Xenopus tropicalis: one gene and its partners. The protein of the gene in region 1 purifies or fractionates together with the protein of each later gene. This does not show direct contact. Links are inferred from orthologs where the notes say so. Each region holds a gene or a part of one and is shown in the gene's direction. Other genes may lie near its edges.

The links.
Region 2: the proteins of prkag3 (region 1) and prkaa1 purify together in Homo sapiens (affinity purification with mass spectrometry; 3 studies listed by BioGRID and IntAct, counting the BioPlex papers as one, with this or other methods). This does not show direct contact. The link is inferred for Xenopus tropicalis from reciprocal best matches to the Homo sapiens genes PRKAG3 and PRKAA1.
Region 3: the proteins of prkag3 (region 1) and pfdn6 purify together in Homo sapiens (affinity purification with mass spectrometry; 3 studies listed by BioGRID and IntAct, with this or other methods). This does not show direct contact. The link is inferred for Xenopus tropicalis from reciprocal best matches to the Homo sapiens genes PRKAG3 and PFDN6.
Region 4: the proteins of prkag3 (region 1) and pip4p2 purify together in Homo sapiens (affinity purification with mass spectrometry; 3 studies listed by BioGRID and IntAct, with this or other methods). This does not show direct contact. The link is inferred for Xenopus tropicalis from reciprocal best matches to the Homo sapiens genes PRKAG3 and PIP4P2.
Region 5: the proteins of prkag3 (region 1) and pfdn1 purify together in Homo sapiens (affinity purification with mass spectrometry; 3 studies listed by BioGRID and IntAct, counting the BioPlex papers as one, with this or other methods). This does not show direct contact. The link is inferred for Xenopus tropicalis from reciprocal best matches to the Homo sapiens genes PRKAG3 and PFDN1.
Region 6: the proteins of prkag3 (region 1) and prkaa2 purify together in Homo sapiens (affinity purification with mass spectrometry; 3 studies listed by BioGRID and IntAct, counting the BioPlex papers as one, with this or other methods). This does not show direct contact. The link is inferred for Xenopus tropicalis from reciprocal best matches to the Homo sapiens genes PRKAG3 and PRKAA2.

What each region holds. Positions count from the first base shown.
Region 1 is NC_030685.2:83,071,880-83,074,804, reverse strand, and holds part of prkag3 (5'-AMP-activated protein kinase subunit gamma-3), read left to right. Parts: intron 1-141; coding exon 142-268; intron 269-393; coding exon 394-559; intron 560-1,949; coding exon 1,950-1,987; intron 1,988-2,130; coding exon 2,131-2,277; intron 2,278-2,471; coding exon 2,472-2,565; exon of another isoform or gene 2,566-2,647; intron 2,648-2,925. UniProt on the Homo sapiens protein: AMP/ATP-binding subunit of AMP-activated protein kinase (AMPK), an energy sensor protein kinase that plays a key role in regulating cellular energy metabolism.
Region 2 is NC_030677.2:195,924,061-195,926,776, forward strand, and holds the end of prkaa1 (5'-AMP-activated protein kinase catalytic subunit alpha-1), read left to right. Parts: coding exon 1-68; intron 69-1,660; coding exon 1,661-1,905; 3' UTR 1,906-2,216; downstream 2,217-2,716. UniProt on the Homo sapiens protein: Catalytic subunit of AMP-activated protein kinase (AMPK), an energy sensor protein kinase that plays a key role in regulating cellular energy metabolism.
Region 3 is NC_030684.2:72,102,784-72,106,884, forward strand, and holds the start of pfdn6 (prefoldin subunit 6), read left to right. Parts: upstream 1-1,301; 5' UTR 1,302-1,309; intron 1,310-1,340; exon of another isoform or gene 1,341-1,517; intron 1,518-4,101. UniProt on the Homo sapiens protein: Binds specifically to cytosolic chaperonin (c-CPN) and transfers target proteins to it. Binds to nascent polypeptide chain and promotes folding in an environment in which there are many competing pathways for nonnative proteins.
Region 4 is NC_030682.2:126,740,926-126,744,425, reverse strand, and holds part of pip4p2 (type 2 phosphatidylinositol 4,5-bisphosphate 4-phosphatase), read left to right. Parts: intron 1-3,364; coding exon 3,365-3,500. UniProt on the Homo sapiens protein: Catalyzes the hydrolysis of phosphatidylinositol-4,5-bisphosphate (PtdIns-4,5-P2) to phosphatidylinositol-4-phosphate (PtdIns-4-P).
Region 5 is NC_030679.2:31,788,222-31,792,298, forward strand, and holds the start of pfdn1 (prefoldin subunit 1), read left to right. Parts: upstream 1-1,277; 5' UTR 1,278-1,374; coding exon 1,375-1,407; intron 1,408-2,636; coding exon 2,637-2,803; intron 2,804-4,077. UniProt on the Homo sapiens protein: Binds specifically to cytosolic chaperonin (c-CPN) and transfers target proteins to it. Binds to nascent polypeptide chain and promotes folding in an environment in which there are many competing pathways for nonnative proteins.
Region 6 is NC_030680.2:87,584,478-87,588,565, reverse strand, and holds the start of prkaa2 (5'-AMP-activated protein kinase catalytic subunit alpha-2), read left to right. Parts: upstream 1-1,288; 5' UTR 1,289-1,294; coding exon 1,295-1,388; intron 1,389-4,088. UniProt on the Homo sapiens protein: Catalytic subunit of AMP-activated protein kinase (AMPK), an energy sensor protein kinase that plays a key role in regulating cellular energy metabolism.

The sequences.
Region 1 (2,925 bases):
GCTATTCTGATACCTACTGGGAGCTGCTATCTTGCTCCCTTCCCATTGTTCTGCTGATCGGCTGCTGGGGGTGAGGGGGGGGGGATATCACTCCAAGTTGCAGATAAGACGCCATTAATCATCTTATTGACTCTCTCTCAGCCTTTTCCACGCTGTATATTCACTTATCAAGAATAAGATCCACCGGCTGCCAGTAATGGATCCCATATCCGGAAACATCCTGCATATCCTTACGCACAAACGTCTCCTCAAGTTCCTCCACCTGTTTGTAAGTCGGGCGCCTGTAGTACCTGTGCCTGTAGTACCTGTGCCTGTAGTACATACAGTTAGTAAGTAGTGGGTATATACAGTACAAATGCTCACACTGTTCATGTCCCACAATGCACTTTGCAGGGAGACACTCTCCCAAGGCCACGGTTCTTGCAGAAGACCATCCTGGAGTTGGGCATCGGCACCTTTAGGGATGTGGCAGTCGTGCAGGACTCCTCCTCTGTCTACAACGCACTGGAAATCTTTGTAGAGAGGAGAGTTTCTGCCCTCCCCGTGGTGAATGAATCTGGTGAGTGCAGTGACTCCCCCAGACTATATTGTCCCTGCAGAACTATGCAAAACCCCAGGCCAGGCTGTTCCTGCTTTACTATCTACCTGTCCCAGGCCAGCTTGTCCCCACATTACTATGGCCAATGCCCAGGCCAGCTTATCCCCACATTACTATGGCCAATGCCCAGGCCAGCTTGTCCCCACATTACTATGGCCAATGCCCAGGTCAGCATGTCCCCACATTACTATGGCCAATGCCCAGGTCAGTATGTCCCCACATTACTATGGCCAATGCCCAGGCCAGCTTATCCCCACATTACTATGGCCAATGCCTAGGCCAGCTTATCCCCACATTACTATGGCCAATGGCTAGGCCAGCATGTCCCCACATTACTATGGCCAATGCCCAGGCCAGCTTTTCCCCACATTACTATGGCCAATGCCCAGGCCAGCTTATCCCCACATTACTATGGCCAATGCCTAGGCCAGCTTATCCCCACATTACTATGGCCAATGCCCAGGCCAGCTTATCCCCACATTACTATGGCCAATGCCCAGGCCAGCTTATCCCCACATTACTATGGCCAATGCCCAGGCCAGCTTATCCCCACATTACTATGGCCAATGCCTAGGCCAGCTTATCCCCACATTACTATGGCCAATGCCCAGGTCAGTATGTCCCCACATTACTATGGCCAATGCCCAGGCCAGCTTATCCCCACATTACTATGGCCAATGCCTAGGCCAGCTTATCCCCACATTACTATGGCCAATGCCTAGGCCAGCATGTCCCCACATTACTATGGCCAATGCCCAGGTCAGTATGTCCCCACATTACTATGGCCAATGCCCAGGCCAGCTTATCCTCACATTACTATGGCCAATGCCTAGGCCAGCATGTCCCCACATTACTATGGCCAATGCCCAGGTCAGTATGTCCCCACATTACTATGGCCAATGCCTAGGCCAGCATGTCCCCACATTACTATGGCCAATGCCTAGGCCAGCATGTCCCCACATTACTATGGCCAATGCCTAGGCCAGCTTATCCCCACATTACTATGGCCAATGCCTAGGCCAGCATGTCCCCACATTACTATGGCCAATGCCCAGGTCAGTATGTCCCCACATTACTATGGCCAATGCCTAGGCCAGCTTATCCCCACATTACTATGGCCAATGCCTAGGCCAGCATGTCCCCACATTACTATGGCCAATGCCTAGGCCAGCTTATCCCCACATTACTATGGCCAATGCCCAGGCCAGCTTGTCCCCACATTACTATGGCCAATGCCTAGGCCAACAAGCAGTACTATGCACAACACCAGGGCCAAACAGTCCATATTTTTTCTCCTTGCCCCACAGTGTTCCATTCCCCTCAGTATAACCTTTATGTGCTTGTTTTGCAGGGCAGGTGGTCGGACTCTATTCCCGCTTTGATGTAATAGTGAGTATCCTTCCCTTCCCATAATGCATGCAGAGCCATAACCTTGCCCCCCAGAGAGGCTGAGCTTTCCCTGTAGCCTTAGCTTATAGACAGCACCCTGCCCTGGGTGCCACATCTGGGTACATTTGTCCCTTCCCTTTCAGCACCTTGCGGCACAGAAGATCTATAACAACCTGGATATCAGCGTACGAGATGCCCTGCGCTTGCGTTCTCTGAGTATTGAGGGGGTCCTCATGTGTTACCCCCATGAAAGTCTGGAGGTGGTCATTGATCGAATTGTCCGAGAACAGGTAAGTACCATTATACCAAAGGTGGGCTCTGGGTGCTCTTCAAGCTGTAGTACCTCCCCCAGCCTGCAGAGGGAGGAGCTCCATAATAATAATAATAAAGACACATGGTTATGGAAACAAAACCCAGAATGTTCTAAGTTTCTCTCAAACAATCCTATGGGATCTCCTGTCATTCCTCTTCCTCCCAATCCCAGATTCATCGCCTGGTTCTGGTGGATGAAGACCATCGGCCTCGGGGTATTGTGTCTCTCTCTGACATTCTGCAGGCACTGGTGCTCACTCCCGCAGGTATTGATGCCCTTAATTCCTAACCCTGGGAAGGCTCTTTTCTACCTTCACCCTGAACCTCCTCTTCCTCTCAGAGGCACAGGTAGGCTCCCCATTGGCGGCAGTCAGGAGCAACGTGGGTGCTGGAGACTGTCTGCACTGCTCCTCTCTGCACTCTCTGCCGTGTGTCTGACTTGGCTCTGATGAACACCCCCTTCCTTTGTACTTGGCAGTGTGAACCCCACAACTCAGAGACCCCTTATGTTAACCCCTACACTTGTGTGGATCCCTGTTTCTGTCCTTGGGCCCCTACATCAGCCAAACAACCAAGTCTACTTGGCCACATTGGGAACCCCCCTTGGAAAGTGGTACATACCCAGG
Region 2 (2,716 bases), on another chromosome or scaffold:
TAAGATGAGCCTCCAGCTGTACCAAGTGGATAGCAGAACTTACCTGCTGGATTTCCGCAGCATTGACGGTATGTGACATTTCTGTGCTACTTTCGGAATAGTAATGCCAAATGTTTGGCTGCTGATGCCTTTTATGGTTTTTATTACCTTCTACCAGCCTGTCACAGAGGCAGTCGCAGCAATAAAACTCTGGGTTCCCATCATTTCCGTCAGTTGTTTATATTAATTACTTAAGGGCCTTTGTCTAAACCCAGAATGGCACTCTACCTCTGAAATTGTACTTCATGCAGTAGCTTATGTATTACCTCACTAACAGTAATGTTTGTTCACGTCAGTGTTAAAGGAGCCTCATGTCCTAGTATTATATTTTACCTTATTTTAAATGATTAGTGCCCCAGAAACATGGTTTTAAACTGTTTTTCTTAAAAATGCTATAATATTAGAGATGAAGTGAGACCTGGGCTTGCCCTTTCCTTCCTTCCCAGGATATGGTCATAACTGTGAGTGACAATCAGAACTTTGCTGCAGCAGCCCGAGTCCTGCCATTGTCTCTCTGCTCCCAGCCCTATCAAACTGTGTCAGAATGCTCCTGCTCACAGTGTTTAGTGGAGCTGCAACTTTCCTCCAAGCTGTAATTAAGATGGCCACACACAGCGCAGATTTTGGCTTCCTATTCAGATCCTTCATTCCTAGTGGCACCTTATCTGCCCATGTATGAGGCACTCTGTCTTGCTTATCCAGCAAAAATTGGGCACATATTCATCAGACGGGTTTAAAAAAATCTTGTTGGGGCGATGACCGTATCTGGTCATTGATGGGTGTCCTTGCCCCAATGGCCTGTATCCCCGACGTTAAACTAGCAGATCAGCCCCAGATCATTCAGTGTGTGGCCTGCTTTACTGTGTCCCAATATCAGCTGTTAGATCTCATTCCAGAACTTTTATTCGGCCATTTTCTGCTGTGTATAACAGCCTCCAACAGTAGTTCCTAGTATACTATTGTGTGGCCTGTCTGCTGCTAGCAGCAACTCCCTTCAACCTTACATTGAGCAAATTGCAATTTATATATTAAGTGGCCTTCAGCAATCACAGAAAACTTACCAGCTCTGAATAGAAGCAGTAGCATCTCCATTATAGGTGGACAGCTACCTTCTCATTATCCTATAGCGCAAATCTGCTCCCCCAGCTGAAACAATCGGGTTAAGGTGAAAGTGCTAAAAGAAAGGCACAATTAAATTTTTTTGCTTTTATTACTATTTAACAAAGCTGGAAGCAGGGAGACATTTAGGAGCAGAGGGACATGGACTACTATTGTAGCATTCTGCTCACCACATTATGATAATGGGAGTCTGAAGGTGAACATACATGGGCAGATTGAAGCTGCTGATTCGACCACTTCAGGCCAGGTTGGCATCTTATCTGCGCATGTATAGGACTCTCCAACAGGCATACCTGACCAGTATATGACCAAAAATCAGCCTGATATGTGGCAGGTGTGAAAATCCTGTAGGGGCCAGTTCATGGTCTCCTCCCACTCTAAAAATATACAGATTAATTGTCACTATATATCCTGCACTCTATAAATAACAGATAATTCTAGTAACAACATACATTTTACACCATAAATTGCTGGAAATAATTAAGCCTATTGTTCTTTTCAGATGAAGTAACTGAGGCCAAGTCGGAAAGCGCCACCCCTAGGCGATCAGGCTCCATTAGCAATTATCGACCTCCAAAAAATGACTCGGATCCTGAAATTCAAGCGAAGTCTTCAGACGGCTCAGGGCCTTCATCTTTAACCTCATCAGTGGACTCTTCCAATGCCGACCTAGTCCCCAGGCCAGGAAGCCATACCATAGAATTTTTTGAAATGTGTGCAAATTTAATAAAAATCCTTGCACGATAGGCCTCCGGCAACATAAGCGAATCCATATCGAGCAATAAGCATGCAGTGATCTGTAGCCAAATGCTTCCAGTCTCAATCCAGTTATGACCGACCAACAGCTGAAAGCTCTTGTCACAATGCAATTTGCACATACGATTCCAAGACTATGTTAGACCTCAATCCGTAGTGTGATCATTATTTTTAATAGTTCCTTGTCAACGCATATAAATTGTATATATTTTTCAGGTTGACAAAAGTTTTAATTGCACATTTTATCGAGCACTGGGCTACTTTGCATATTCCCAAGATAAACCTCAACATCTTGTCTTAAATTTGTTATTTTTTTTCTTGTCTTGTGAAATACATAGAAGTGATCACATGATAATTTAGTGGTTTAAGCATGCCGGCCATAATTCTGCAGCTTAAACTCCACTGGGATAGATCAGTCTGGTGAATAAGGGCAGTAAATGTGGATATCAAAAGGCAATTTGTACAAATATATAATAAAAAAAGGATTTTTTTTTTTTTTTTTTTAAGGATAAGGACTCATGTATGTACTTTATGGCTAGCTATTATTTACATGTAACTTTCACTAATATATGGGGACGTTAGAACAATCCATTGGCTGTTTATTGTTCCTAAGCTGTTTAGCTTCCTTTGCAACCTCAAAGCTAGAGGTCCAAGCCCTCGATGCTCTCCCATGGCTGATTTACAAATGACATAGCGCTTGGAATGTAATCTATATTACAAATTGGGATAATTGTCCCATTGCATAGAAAGTGGTCGGATCAGACTGGCCTACCAGTGGAGCTAGACCAGGGGTGGGCAAACT
Region 3 (4,101 bases), on another chromosome or scaffold:
AAACCTTTGCGACTTTGCATGATTTTGGAAGCCTCCCATAGGAATCAATGGCACTCTGCAGCTCCAACCCGGCCCAAGGAAAGTCTCCCATAGGGCTCAATGGCACTCTGCAGCTCCAACCTGGCCCAAGGAAAGTCTCCCATAGGGCTCAATGGCACTCTGCAGCTCCAACCTGGCCCAAGGAAAGCCTCCCATAGGGCTCAATGGCACTCTGCAGCTCCAACTTGGCCCAAGGAAAGTCTCCCATAGGGCTCAATGGCACTCTGCAGCTCCAACCTGGCCCAAGGAACGTCTCCCATAGGGCTCAATGGCACTCTGCAGCTCCAACCCGGCCCAAGGAAAGTCTCCCATAGGGCTCAATGGCACTCTGCAGCTCCAACCTGGCCCAAGGAAAGTCTCCCATAGGGCTCAATGGCACTCTGCAGCTCCAACCTGGCCCAAGGAAAGTCTCCCATAGGGCTCAATGGCACTCTGCAGCTCCAACCCGGCCCAAGGAAAGCCTCCCATAGGGCTCAATGGCACTCTGCGGCTCCAACCTGGCCAAAGGAAAGTCTCCCATAGGGCTCAATGGCACTCTGCAGCTCCAACCTGGCCCAAGGAAAGTCTCCCATAGGGCTCAATGGCACTCTGCAGCTCCAACCTGGCCCAAGGAAAGTCACGATACCAAAGCTTGAATGAATCTGGAACTTTCGTACTCGGCGCAACGGCTACAAAAAAGTCACGACAATTCGCGCAAATCGTAATGGCTACGAAAAAGTTGCGACAATTTACGAAAAAGTTGCAACGGCTACGAAAAAAGTCACGACAATTTACAAAAAAAATCTAAAAATACCGATCATTATGAAAAAAAAACGCATTCGGGCGCCTTCGGAGCGTTCGTGGATTAGTAAATGTGCCCCTATGACTGTCTCTGCCTACACTAGTATCTAGTTCCCGCACTGAAACACAAGGCACAAGACACTCAGAAGACGAGAGCAGAAAGAATACACGCACCAAAGGAAAAGTGGCTCTCCTCTCTGTTTCTTTCCAAGATATAAAGTAAGCAACACAAGCATTAGCAGAGGTACTTACCGTTACAGGATCCAACAAAGGCACATTCAACCACACCTGCGCGTTTTTATTTTGGGTGTGTCTGGCTAAAGATGGCAAGATTCAAACCAGGGGAAAAACCTCTCAGGAACGCCCAATGCGCCCTATAGCAACCAAGCAGCGCTCCAATAGGATGGGGCGGAAAGGCGTCAGGGGAAGCGCTCTGATCACTTCCGGGTGAGAGGCGGCTTCAGCTGCACGTTGGTTCTGACAGGACACGGTAATTGTGTTTATTCGGATGGGTAGCGGCAGGGAATGGTTTGTTATACTGAGTGCTGCTGTGTAATAGGGGAACTCTGTGCGTTTGCTTCATCTCCCGACGTGTAGCGCGGTGTCGCCTTGTGCCCGGCATGTTACACAATGAATAGCGCAGAGTCGCTGGTGTAGCCTGTATTCTGTCTCTAGGGCCGTGTGTGCCTCTTGCATTGGTAATTTGTAGCTTTTGTATCTAAAACTGTGTTCAGTGTATTTACCCATTTGTACAGCACTGCAGGATGTGTATGTATATTTATATATTGCTACCTATGTACACAGCGCTGTACAACAGGTACATAGGGGATAATCCAATCATTATATACAATCATTACATACAAAGTACAATAATATAAATAAATACAAAGTTTAGTTGCTTTAAAGGAGAAGGAAAGGCTAATAAAGAGTTAATCTCAAGCTGCAGGCATACCCTCAGTTGTCTCAATAGTGCCCTTAAGTCTCCCCATATTTCACCTGTTCAGATGATCAGAAGCCAAACAGGAAGAAAAAACTCTGAGCTGTGTAAAGAAAGTTCCCATAATGCCTCGCTCCAGCACAGACACCCAGACCAAGTGAACATGCTCAGTTAGACTATGAGTCCGCTTCCTGCTGATTGGCTCAGATTCACATTCCTAAGGCGGGGAATGAGTTATTAGCATTTTTGAGGGAGGGGGTAGCAGGAGAGAGCAGGAAGCAGAAAGCTGCGTGTCTCTGGCAGAGTAAAACAGACACAGCTAATCTTTTTTCAGAGAATTCAGTGCAGCGTTTCTGTGAGTGCTTATGGCTGTATTTACATAGACCTTTCTGATAAAGCTTACTTCGTTTTTACCTTTCTTTCTCCTTTAAAGATTGCCCAGAGTTATGTGTTAGAGAGAGAAGAGGATGGAGGTACCTGTCCTGTAGAGCTTACAGTCTAAATGGTTGGGAATTAGGTTATATGTTATAGGAGGGCTCAGAGAGGTAGTGTTTGAGTTTAGTTCTCAAGAGACTGACAGTTGTGGATCTTAGATAGCAAGGATCCGGCTAGCAGTTAAAAGATTATTTTAAGGTGGACAACACCTGTAAATCTGCAGATCAAGCATCACAATCTTTGATTCTATATAGTTCCATGTATCTGTTCAGGGTCTGTGGATTGTAAGTGCATCCTGCTCCCTCATAGTTGTACTCACAACCCCTCATGGTTGGGAGTTTAGGGTTGAAATGAAAGTAATGCACTGCTAGGGTTCGGAAAATCCTTTTTCTGTCTCAGGTCAGAATAGTTCTAATTCGTATGTATGTATAACCAGGCCCAGACTGGCAATCTGTGGGTTCTGGCAAATGCCAGAGGGGCCGCTGTAAGATGCCATAGACAGTCACTATTTATTTAGAGCAGTGTCTGTTTGTGCTGCCTTAGGGCTCTGGCACACGGGGAGATTAGTCACCCGCGACAAATCTCCCTTGTCACAGGCAACTAATCTCCCCGAACTACCATCCCACCGGCGAAAATGTTAGCCGCCGGTGGGATGGCACACGCTGAGCAGGTGATTTCGGCAAATGACGGCGTAGTGTTCTACCGACAGTAACCTTTGTGGCCCCAGCTCTCTTCTGGGCTGATTCCTCACCTTTCTTATCATCAGTGATACCCCACGAGGTGAGATCTTGCATGGGCCCCAGTCCTAGGAAAACTGACGTCTTTAGCCTTTTCCATTTTCTAACAATTAATCCAACAGTTGATCTATTTTCACCAAGCTGCTTGGCAATTGCCCCGTAGCCCTTTCCAGCCTTGTGGAGGTCCACAATTTTGTCTCTGGTGTCTTTGGACAGTTCTTTGGTCTTGCCCATGGTAGTAGTTGGAGTCTGACTGACTGTCGGGTGGACAGGTGTCTTTAAAGAGCTCAGACAGGTGCTACTAATTTAATTAATGAGTGGAGTAGAGGTGGACTATTTAAAGGCAGAGTAACAGGTCTTTGAGAGCCAGAATTCTTGCTGATTGCCAGGTGTTCAAATACTTATGTGCAGCAGTGCAATACAAATACATTCTTTAAAAATCATATAATGTGATTTCCTGAATTTTTCTTTAAATGCTGTCTCTTACAGTGGGAATGCACCTATAATGTGAATTTCAGACTCCTCCATGATTTCTAAGTGGGAGAACTTGCAAAATTGCAGGGTGTTAAATACTTATGTTCCTCACTGTATATACAGTTGCAAGAAAAAGTATGTGAACCCTTTGGAATTATATGGATTTATGCACAAATTGGTCATAAAATATAATCTGAGCTGCATCTACGTCACAACAATAGACAAAACTTTTTCTTGCAAAAAGAAATATATATATATATACACACACTCAGAGCCATAAAACAGCCCCAAGTATTCAGATTCTAAATCCAGTCAATTTACTACACCCCAAAATTTCCACTACATGTCAAAAGGACCCCAAAACCAATACGTATAAATACACAGGCAGAACAGTGGCTTCAGACAGGACAGTTCTAGTCACTTTTTCCATTTTTCCAAAAGAACAGTAAAACCAAACAATGAAACTGTTTTAAAGTAATTCAGATATAATGTGTTGCTGCCCTGATCTTCTAAAGGCAAAGACACATGGGGCGATTAGTCGCCGCAACTTTTAAAAAAGTCTTTTCTGCCATAGGTTAAAATAGAAGTTGCTGCAACTAAACACCTGCGAGTTTTCACTACGCAGATTAGTCGCCACAATTTTTTAAAAAGTTGTGCCGAGTAATCACCCGTGTGTCTTTGCCCTAAAAGTTGTGTGTT
Region 4 (3,500 bases), on another chromosome or scaffold:
GCCCTAAAACTACTGTCGCAAACAGTCATTATTGTTGCTAATTAAACTTCACAATTTACAAATAATGTACCAATGTTCTAGTTTACAGTAGAACTTTAGAAGATGTCTTTCTCTGTTACCCTCATGTCCTTTCTCTGTTACCCTCATGTCCTTGTCAAGTGGAGGTAACTTCAGCATCTGTACAGCTTGACATGGTCACATGAAGATAATGGACTTACATGACTGTCATCTATTTATGAATATCAGGCTGGGTTGTGTCATGTAATTTGTATGTTAAAGGATAATGTTCAGGAGATGGCTCTATGTCTCAATCGGCTGTCCACAGGTTGCAATTTCCTTGGTTAAAGAGGAACTGTCAGAGCATTAAAATGCTTTCAACCTATTGGTTGAAGCCAGTGGCTAGTGTTGTGGATACTACAAAAAGATATGAAATATAAGTAGGCCAGAGATCATATAATAAAATACATGAAGCATATGAATCCATATGAATAATAAGGTACACTGTCAGTGACGGCAACAACTCGTAGAATACAGGTCTCTTAAAATCCAGGTTACAACAGGAATATATGAAAAGGTAAAATAGCTAAAAAGGCCCAAATATGTTGAAATCACATTCAAGCATGGGATCACTGTAATACTGACATGCCCAAACATTATGTAGTAAAATATGTAGATATTGTCCTGTGGAACAACAGGAAAACACATGATGTTTCATTACCGATGTCTAAAGTAATTAAACATATTTTTTCCTTTTCTTGAACTGTTATATGGTTTATTTTTATCCCTCAGCCTAACATTTTATTTCTACCAAAGCAGTCAGTTTGGAATTTGGGCATTCCACATTGCTTACTACTGAATTCAATTTGCAGAACCAGGGACATGCTTTTCCAGGCCAACAGTATCTTGGTACAGCCAATGGAACCTGACTTTGTGATTGTCCCATTTGTTTAATAAAGATGGCCTCCATACATGAATTTTCAAGTGCCCTTTGTATCATTTGTTATAAAATGCAACAACCACCTGTCCTTAACTGGGCTGGAACCCAAGTTTCCAAAGGATTCCAAAAGACCTCTTGGCTCTGCTGATGAGAGTAATGCACAAAATTGATCAGCTCATCCTTACCTGGTGTCTCTATGTTTCTTACTATATAAAATGATAATTTTAGTTTCCTACTGTTTTTTTAAATCTGGTTACATTATCCCACATTATATTTGCTTATTATATTCCCTGCACCTACCCACTTGGCTTTTTAAAACCTCTTGATATTTCACAACTGAATGTGCATTATAGCCTACACAAGGAACATTGTGATTGTGTTTTTGTACTGAGGGAGTTATCTTCCCGGGACTACACCTATTAGGCAATGGGCAGCTTAAGGCTGCCATACACGGGCTGATTCTAGCTGCCGATATCAGCCGATATCAGCCCCATAGATTCGTCAGCTTATTTGCCCGTGTAGGGGCACTAACGTTGGGCCTGCCCGAACGATATCTGGCCTGAAATGGGCCAGATATCGATCGGCCAGTTTGAAAAATTTAGTCAGATCAGGGACTGCATTGGCTCGTTGATGCAGCCCCCAAACTGACTGTGCCTATTACTGTCGTTCTAATTCAATCGTTTGGCCCCAAGGCCAAACGATCAAATTTGGCTGAATTTGCCCGATATCGCCCACCCGTAGGTAGAAGATATCGGGAGAAGATCCATTCGCTTGGCAACATTTAGTCCTATATGCACCAAAGAAAGGACTTTAGCTGCCTTTCCTTAGAGAGGGGTCAGTCAGGTGAGGTACATAATGCACACAAGGTGGACTAACAGAGGGATGAAGCAGCATATGAAGTACATGCCGATTTGATAGTATATGTAAGGCAGGAAGAGGAACATGAGTGTGTGAATTATGGCAGAACTGACAAAGCAAGCAAGCAAATAAGCAGTGGCTAGGGCTATAGCACATGAGGCATTTGATCACTATTAGGTGTATTGCTTCATACTGACTAGAATAGGAAGTGCAGAGAGTAAAACATTGGACTTATGATTCAGTACGTTCCATAGCAGAACAGAATCATCGGTAAGGCATTTGAAAAAAGGCAATAAGCTAATGGAGTCATTTTGAAGTATGGCACACCATTATTTAGTATAATTTTAGATTTTAGAGGCATTCTGTTTTAAAATAAATGCTGAGCTGAGGCACTACTGTTGCTATTGTGAAGTCTCAAACGATTATGGTTTTAATCAAGCTACTAATTGGGCTGGAGCCCAAGTTCCCAAAGGATGCCACAGAGGACCTCTGGTCCAGAGAACTCTCCACTCCTCCTTCTTTTTATCCTTGGCTGTCAATGGGAGTAAAACACAGAATTCATCAGCTCATCCTCACCTGGTTACTTACTATGCAAACTGATAAGTTCAATTTCCAGTCAACCCCAATCCCATAATCACCCCCTATACCCACTATTTTAATTGGTTTACATTATCCCACAATGTCTTTCCTATCTGTAATGTTCTTCACATTCCCTGTGCCTGACCTCTTGGCTTTTTAAACCATGAACTGGAAAATCAATGATTAGGGCTATGGTACATAAGGCATATGATCAGCACCACTAGTGGATTGCTTCATACTGACTAGCATGGGAAGCGCTAAGAGTAGACCACTGATCGCCTTTTATCATTTGTGCTTGAGGGTGTTATGTAGTAGAACAGACTCACAGGCATTAGGAAAGGCAAATAGCTAATCATCATTATTTAGTAATAATTTAGACTTTTGGAGGCATTCTGTTTCAAAACAGAGCTGAGGCACTACTGTTGTTATTATGATGTCTCATACTATTACGGTATGTTTTTTTTCTTTTATAATTTAAACCAACAGGCATCATTAGAACCTTTTTAGTTTTACATCTTGGCTTCTTTGACTGAAGAGCGAGTAATTATATAGATTGCTGTATGGAGAGAAATGTATTTGAAAGCTCCATCCCTGCTCTATAAGGATCATTACTTTCAGAATTCATTATGAGCTTGTAGAATTATATATTACAGGTTTCTCTATTCAGTGCTTATTAATAGGGAACAGCAGAAGCACATTTAGCTCTTAAGTATCTCAGGCCTCAGTCAGAGAAAGGTGTGTCAGACAAAGCACAGCTCTCGCAAAACGTGCATTAGAAACAATGGCTGCTAATGGCTCTTGTGATGGCATTAAGTGAACCCAACCCTTGATTATATTGCAAATGTAAGAATAGCAACAAGCAGAATGAATGATTTGTGGCTAATCTCATTCTGTCCTTATTGCTGTTGTGCTTACTGTTTGTACTGCCGTCTGTTCTTTTGTATAACAAATGTTGATGTGTGGTTTACAAGAAATATTGTCTCTGTGCAGCTGAATTGCCACCTCCATATACAGCCATTGCCAGCCCAGATGCCAGCGGAGTTCCTGTGATAAACTGTCGCGTGTGCCAGTCTCTTATTAATTTGGACGGCAAACTTCATCAGCATGTGGTGAAATGCACAGTCTG
Region 5 (4,077 bases), on another chromosome or scaffold:
TTGCCCTGGTTTCAGATCTGTCATGTAATGTAAATGAATTACTAATCAGCCTTTCACTGTTACATTTATATTCTGTATATACAGTATATTGTGAGTGGGTCCCTAAGCTCAAGTAAGTGACTGCAACACAGAGCATGTGCAGGGAATCAGCAGAAAAGAAGATGGGGGGGGGGCTACTGGAGGGCATCTTTGGGGGCACAGATCTTCCCTGCAAAAGGGCTGTTTGTGCCTTGGGCTGGTACAGAAACCCATAACATAATTCACAAAATTTCAGCCCTACTTCTTTGTTAAAAAGTGTGCACAAAAGAAATTATTTGTGTACCCTGCCAAGAAGAAATTGGTTTAAGGGCACTGCTGTATGGGGCAGATTCTGCAGTTAACTTGCAGGCCGAGAATCTGCTGTGTGGCAGTGCCCTAAAAATCCCACTGGCATGTTGATGAGGCCTACATGGGTGCCAATTATGTTTATGGCCCTAGGGAAAAAGTGGCTGTTTAGTTCAAAACTAGACAGGTGTCAACCCCCAAGTGCACTGACAAGTGATTCCTGTGTTAGTCCATTCAGTGGTCATCTTTAGTGTTTTACCAGCTGCTAGGGCTGTCCAGTGCAGCCGTAAGCACCAGACTTCTGACCTCGCCCCCCTCGTATACAGCTACACTTTTTTTCTTTTTAATATAGGCACCCCTAGCGCTGCCCTACATAAATATGGCCCATGCACCCATGAGCTAAATCATGCACAGGGGATCTTGTCTGAGCAAGATCACCTTCAGGCTGGGCTTTTAGAACTATCTCCCAAAATAAGAAATATTTCTTTAACGTTGCCCCATTTTCAGCCATGATTTCAATTTATGGCGTTTGTAACTGCTTACAAAATACAGTCTAATTCAAGATTCCAGAAACATATGGGATAAACAGTCTAGAAACTCATAACAATCCTATTGGGTGCGAATCGAATTACAACCCTTCCCCATATATTTCTACATATAACTCCCCAGCCACTGTGTCACTGCCGGTTTAACACGTTGTGTGTAAATCACGCACACATATTTGTTTATATGTTACATCACACGTTACACCCTTGGTTCACTCTACACAAAACATAACTTCTGTGGCAAAACAAACTACTAGCAACCATGGCTCAAATATCTTTAAACAGTAAGAGCTCTCGCTGCTAAGCCACAACTCAACCAATCCTCCAGCAACTATACGCTGGGCGTTTCCCAAGAACGCCCACCAATGCGCCCAGCTTCACCTTAGCAGCTGCCAATTGGAATTGCCAGTAAAGCACCAAGAGCCAATCACAAGGCTGCTTGCGATGACGGCGGTATAGCGTATGGTTTCCTCGCCGCCGCGTTGCGCATGTGCCCGGCTTTAATATGGCTACCCCTGTGGATCTAGAGCTGAAGAAGGTAATAATAATTGTATTTCATTTATACTAATGATTTTTATCATGTACGTGTTTTCATGTAAGTGTATGTTTATATAAGAATTCAGATGCTGGTGAATTCACGGTGCCTGCAGGATGAATGTGCTTTTGGCTGGAGTGCGGCCAGGCAGCTAGTGCATACGCTCGGTGGAATGCGAATGTAGTCGTTTTTGTATTTCTAGTAGGGAACTGTATTTGTAGTAAAGAATTTTGATATCATTTGATTTGTGTGTGTGTATATATATATATATATATATATATATATATATATATATATATATATATATATATATATATATACATATATATACATATACATATACATATACATACACACACATACATACATACATACATACTCACACTCTATAAACCCATAGTTCTATAAACGAACACTTGTTTTTTTCCAAATACATAAAGAAGGGAAATTTAATAAAGTATATTTACTATTAATGTAAGATTCATCCTTTTGGAAGGCACTATCTCCCAGTGCATTGTTTATTTGCAATTAAAACAGTCTTTAGAACGCAAAAACATTGCTGTTAAATCTTTGCTTACACCTAAAATTTGGGGGCTTAAGTGTTTAGTAAGATTGGAGATAAATATCACTGGTGATGTTGCCCATAGCAACCAATCAGATATTTGATTTTCATTTCTAACTTGTAGGTGACTGTTCAAATCTAATTCCTGATTGGTTGCTATGGGCAACATAGCCAGTGATATTTATCTCCAATCTTACTAAACATGCCCCTGTGTCCTACATCTGTGGTTTGCTTGACAGACTTTTTCAGTTCAAGCCCACCTTGGAGCCCAGTTAGTTCATAACAAGGTGTATGGAAATGTTGTATCAGCTATTCAGGAAGGGCTCCCGGAATACCCATTTTCACACCAAATTTCTCTCTAACTGAGCTTCTCGCTGGGTTTTTAGAAAAATAGGCCCTCAAGTGGGCCATACAGGGGCCCATTCAGACCAAGTTGACAACATATCAGCCTGTTTATGAGTAATGTGAGACTGCTTGACTGACATTTGCAAAGGATGCACTTTTACAAGCAGAGTAGTTTAAAAACTGGATAGTTTCTAAAATATTAAAAATATTACCTGCTTACACAATCTTGGGTGAAACTCAGATGTAGAGATTGGCAGTGGCTAGAAAGCATTAGCGAGGACAGCACTTAGATACAAATTGTTTAAAACCATGTTTTGTATTGCAGGCTTTCACAGAGCTTCAAGCCAAAGTTATTGATACCCAGCAGAAAGTTAAACTTGCAGATCTACAAATTGAGCAGCTAAATAGAACAAAGAAGCATGCATATCTTACCAATGCAGAAATTATGAACCTGTCTGATTCAACGCCTATGTATGAAGGAGTAGGAAGAATGTAAGTAATGCTGTTTTGCTTTAATCATACAGTCATGCATTAACTTGTCTTTTTAAGTGTAAATTGTAAAGAAAAGTAGACCTTCGGCCCACTCTCCCCTTCTCTGTTCACTCAATTTCTTTAATCTCTTAATTACGCAGTTTTACATAATATTATCTATCCTTTCCTCCATTTCTTCAGTTTCTTTTCATATAGGATTGAGTAATGGCCATGGTATACGCATACAAGGCAAATGGTTGGGTGAGCAGGAGGGCCCACTGACACTTGGGCCACCGGGAGTTTTCCTTGTATCCTGGTGGGCCAGTCAGACACTGCACAGACCTACCGATCCCTTCGAGGGCCAAAAGACAGAAAAAATACAAGGGACCATATACTCTATGGATGCCTTTCTGTTGTTCCTTGTATTCATAGGGAATGAAGGGAACAGTTCCTCATCTTCCATACACAGGCTGTAATGGGTTCTTAGCAGGTTACATATTTATACCCACCCAAATGACAAACCAATCAAAGTACATGGATATAGGCTGCCACGCACATACTGAAAATCGTTAACTGTGTTCCTATGTAATCCCCATTTGACTGTGCCAATGACTGTATTTATAGACTGGCTATTGTTAAAAACCAAGAACTTTTTGGTTTTCTTACATAACCATTGCTGTGGAGAATAGAAAGTACTTATTCATAGGCGAATGATTCAATATTAACACATTTCTAAAGGTGGAAAGCATTAAAGGCCAAAAAAAATGCATTAGTATTTCAGATGCTTTAAATGTTCCGTATGCCTTTAGAACAGAAAGTCTACATTTAGGAGGGCGTTATAGTCACTAGTATAAGTGGAACTTTATAGTTTAGGTAATCCATTGATCTCAGGGAACATGCTTATCTGCAGCTGGGAAGTCCATATATATTAAAATTTAGTTGAATGCGCTTGAATGCACTTGTGCAATAGCCCTCTACAGAGGGTTCTGAACAGCAACTTCATTGGAATAGGCCATACATAGGCAGATTTAAGTCAAGCACCAGCCTAGGGCACAGAACTCTTTTGTTTGTCTGTTTCCCCTTACTTCGGGCCCCAGTTGACTGGGAGAACTGCCAGAAGTCAGAGAGAGCAGCCGCTATTTTGCACTCGCTCGGGGGGGGAGTGGGTGCAGTATAGCCGTCGCTTACTCTTCCAGTCAGTGTGCGCTCGTTACAGGAGGGGTGGGCACGGAGCAGTGCGAGCTGGGGGGGGGGGGGGGCAAAGTTCTAAATTCGCCTGTCATTGATTTAAGCTC
Region 6 (4,088 bases), on another chromosome or scaffold:
GGTCTAAAGGTGGCCATACACGCACCAATAATATCGTAATTCGGTGCGTGTATGGTATTTTGGCCGAGTCGACCGATATCGCAGGAAGCTGCTGATATCGGCCGACTCGCCGATCGGACCAGTTTGAAAATTTTGATCGGGCGCCATAGAAGGTGCCTGACCAAAATCTCCCTTCAGCGCTGAATCGGCAGAAGGAGGTAGAAATCCTATTGTTTCTACCTCCTTACCTGCCGATTCAGCCCTGAATGGTGTGTGGCGGATCTGACGATGTTTCGTGCGACCATCGGTCAGATCGCCACGTGTATGGCCAGCTTAAGGCTGCAGGATTTTAGGGGCAGCATGCAACCAAGCCGCATCTATATTGGTTCCGAAGCACTACGGATGTGCAGGAGATTTGATTTAAATCTCTGCTCGCCAATCAAGCTCCCCAGTGCTCTGTTCCCAACAAGGGAAATTTGCGTATGCATGCACAATGGGAAGGGTGGCAGATGTGCCAAGCAGTGACAGGGGCCTAAGGATGCCCACTAAATCTGGGCCTGATTTTACAGGACTCATTTAATACAAGACTTGCTTTCTGGATTCCGCCAGCAGGGCACAGAGTTCAGGTGCCAAACTGCACATGGGTAGTGATCTGTCTCTCTTTGCCTTGGTGAAATATTTATTAAACCATGGAAAAATTTTCAATTTAAAGGCAAAGGGTTGTTTTACCACTGCTTTTTTTCTGCACAAAATACTTTGAAGTCAATGGCTATTTTTTGCTGCTTTTTTTTTTTCTTTTCACACAAAATATCTTCTTTTCTTGCAACATTTTTCTCACGCTTTTTTGCTTCAAACATTTTTGTGACTTTTAACTTTCCACCTAGCCCACATGTAATATTTACTTGTTCTCCAGATGTGCTCCTCCTTCCTATGCCAGAATGGATTGCCAAATTGCCTCTCACTGTATTTTGTTTGTGAGGACCATAGGGCTCCTTCCCTTGTGCCTAGCCTTTCATAAATAAACCCAAACGAATTGAACATGATATGTTATAGTTAGCTCATTTGGACTGCAAAAAAAATAGAAAAGCGAATTTAAATTCGAATCCAAGCGACGTGTGTTTCAGTACCCTGGGCAGCAACTGGTCATTGCTCCTGCGATTTAGGACCTTGCAGGGCTGCCTGCTCTTGCACGGCATGAAGCCACGCCCACTGGGCTGTCCCTGCAACGGGCTCTGTCAGGATCCAGCCTTTGGCACGCACCTGTCATTGCCTGTGCCAGCTGCATTGTGGGTACACAGACGAACAGAATGCAAAGATGGCTGAGAAGCAGAAGCACGATGGACGGGTTAAAATAGGACACTACATCTTGGGTGACACGCTAGGAGTTGGCACCTTCGGAAAAGTGAAAAGCTGAGTATATTCTCCAGAGCTTTGCTATGTATAGATATACTTTCAGCATCATCAGAACCTGTTTGAAAGCAGAACATGATGCTCCTTGAGTAGAAGGTGCAGGGAGATGAACTGATTGAAGTGCATGGATCATGCAAGCACTTTTTATGAGTGTAAGGTACAGAGGGTGAAGCCTACACAGAGTGCAGTGTAACATTACACAGTTAACATGGGCAGCATCTTTGCTTAATGATCTGTTATTCCTGCAGTTTTTTTTTATTCTTGCTGGGTGCTTCCCAAGGGATGCTGCAGGGGTTAGTTTAACCTCTAAAGCCCTACTGTGGGAGTTAAGGTGACATTGAGGGCAGGAGAAAGGGCAGTGGCAGTGTCTTTATTTATGTACTGTATTATAAACAATAAGCAGTGCAAACAGGAATTGTAGTAAAATGTCAGATATGTGTGACTGCCCGAGTCAGCCATTGTGTGTGTGTGTGAGTTGCTGTACACTTCCAGAAGCTGTGCTGGTGCTAGGGATTTAGTAACTGTGCTGCTGGATGGCAGTGTGCCAGTGGAAAATACATTCTCATGGATTGGGAAGGAACTATTTTTCAATTTTTAATAAGAGGCTGATTGGCTGCTTTTCAGCTTATGTGCAAACTGTTCTTGTTGAACCCAGCATCAAGGAATTGTTACTTGTCAGTATAGACAGGGTGAAAACCCGACAAATCTCTTTTTCACTGCCAATTTATTTGCCAGTGTTTTTAAAAAAAAAGTTGTAAAGGCATCTCTTTAGGACATGTACAGGCCACTGTTATACTTACTTACCTATTGCCATGTAGTAGCTGCGCAATTGTTAATACAATAGCAGTCACATGGATTTCCAGTAGATTTCTATTCACTAGGAAAGTTGTAGCATTTTATTTGAACCATATAGCAATCCTGCATTTAAGTCAAGCAGGTCATTAAAAAAAATCTGCACATTAAAAATGATTAAGACATTGCAAAGTGGTAAGAGGAAATCTGTTGTAATCTATTAAAACCCATCAATCTTTAAGGAATATTTTAGTGCCAAGTTACCTTACAACTGGAGGACAGGAGCACCCACAACACTTTCTTTCTTTGGAACCTGATTTTTAAGGCATTGGAAATGTAGTACTTTCAAGTGATTTCAGTCAAATAAGAAGACCTTTCAGAAATTTGGCCTGATTCAGTTTCATGGTAAAAACATATTTAATGCTTTATCTTGTCCAGACTAGAACCCTTGCGGTAGGCAATAAGTTTCTCATTAAGCTAAATATGGCCATTTGTGTCAAAAACCACAGGGGAAACATCAAAGATCAAAACAAGATGCTATATACCTGTTGCAAATGACCATGCACATAACAGTGTATTGGAAGGACCAGTAGAACCCTTAAAGAAGAAGTAAAGGTTCAGTCACTGGGGGGAGCCAAATATTATGCACCCCCAGTGATTGTAATCCTTTACCTGATACCCCAGACCAGTGCTCCTGTTATCAGAAAACTGAACTGGCCAGGCGTACATGCAAGCAAGCGATCCCCTTTTTTCTTCTTTTTTTCTTCAAAAAAGACAGCTTTTTTGTTAAAGGGGTAGTTAATCTTTTAGTATTTTGTAGACAGTGACATTCTGAGACAATATGCAATTTGTCTTCATTTTCCGTTATTTAGCTTTTATTTAGCTCTCCAAACTGGTATTTCAGCAGCTATCTGGTTGCTAGGGTATGATTTTCCCTAGCAACCAGGCAGTGGTTTGCGTGAGAAGCTGTTCTGTACCAGGAGTACTGGCCTGGGGTATCAGGTAAGTGATTACAATGATGGGTGATTACAATCACAGGGGGGCACCCACCCAGTGATTAAACATTTCCTTCTTCAAGGTGAGGATTTAAAAGCATGTTAACAAAATTTAGAAGAGTTTAACAACACAATGGGGCTTATTTACAAAGTATAGCACAGGATGCATGTTGCAAAACTCAAGATGTTAAACCAACATTTTTTTATATCTTTTGCACACTGCCTTGATGCAGGTGTTGGCTCTCCAGAATGGAGTGCAAAGACTTGCATTCCCCCTATGAATAGAGGTCTGTCTGTGTTCTGCAACAGTGTTTTCATGAGGGATGGGCACGAGAGGCATGAAAGCATCCTCTCTGCTGCCCCCTAACTTGCACATCATTCAGATACGAAAGTTAGGGAGATGTGGCAGGCACAAGTTGCAGCAGATCCGTGTACTTAAGGCTTTAATTAGATGTAAGAAATATATCATGCACTTTCATTTCCATATTGCGCTTACTTTGTATATAGTTTGTATGCATAGTTTAAATTCTAGCTATTGCTATAAAGTGCAGAAAATAGAAATCAGTAGTGCAGTAGCATATGCTGATACTGAAATAAATACTGAAAATTATCCATATTGTTGGGAATGCTTAACTGGCAAGATTATAGAAGCTCTTGCAAAGAAAACAAACTTAGTAATAAATCCATTTTTGAATCAACAATTATGCAGGCACTTAGTCCCCCATTCCACACAAGCACAAAGCATCATATATAAATTCATGGATGCTGGTGCACATTACACAATATACTGTATAGTTACCTAAGAACATAGCTTCTCCCAAGGATGCACAACCTGTGAAATGCACTGTGCTCTATTTCTGGCATCCTGGGATTATGTTTTTTGTTTGTATGCATTGCAAAGACACCACTGTC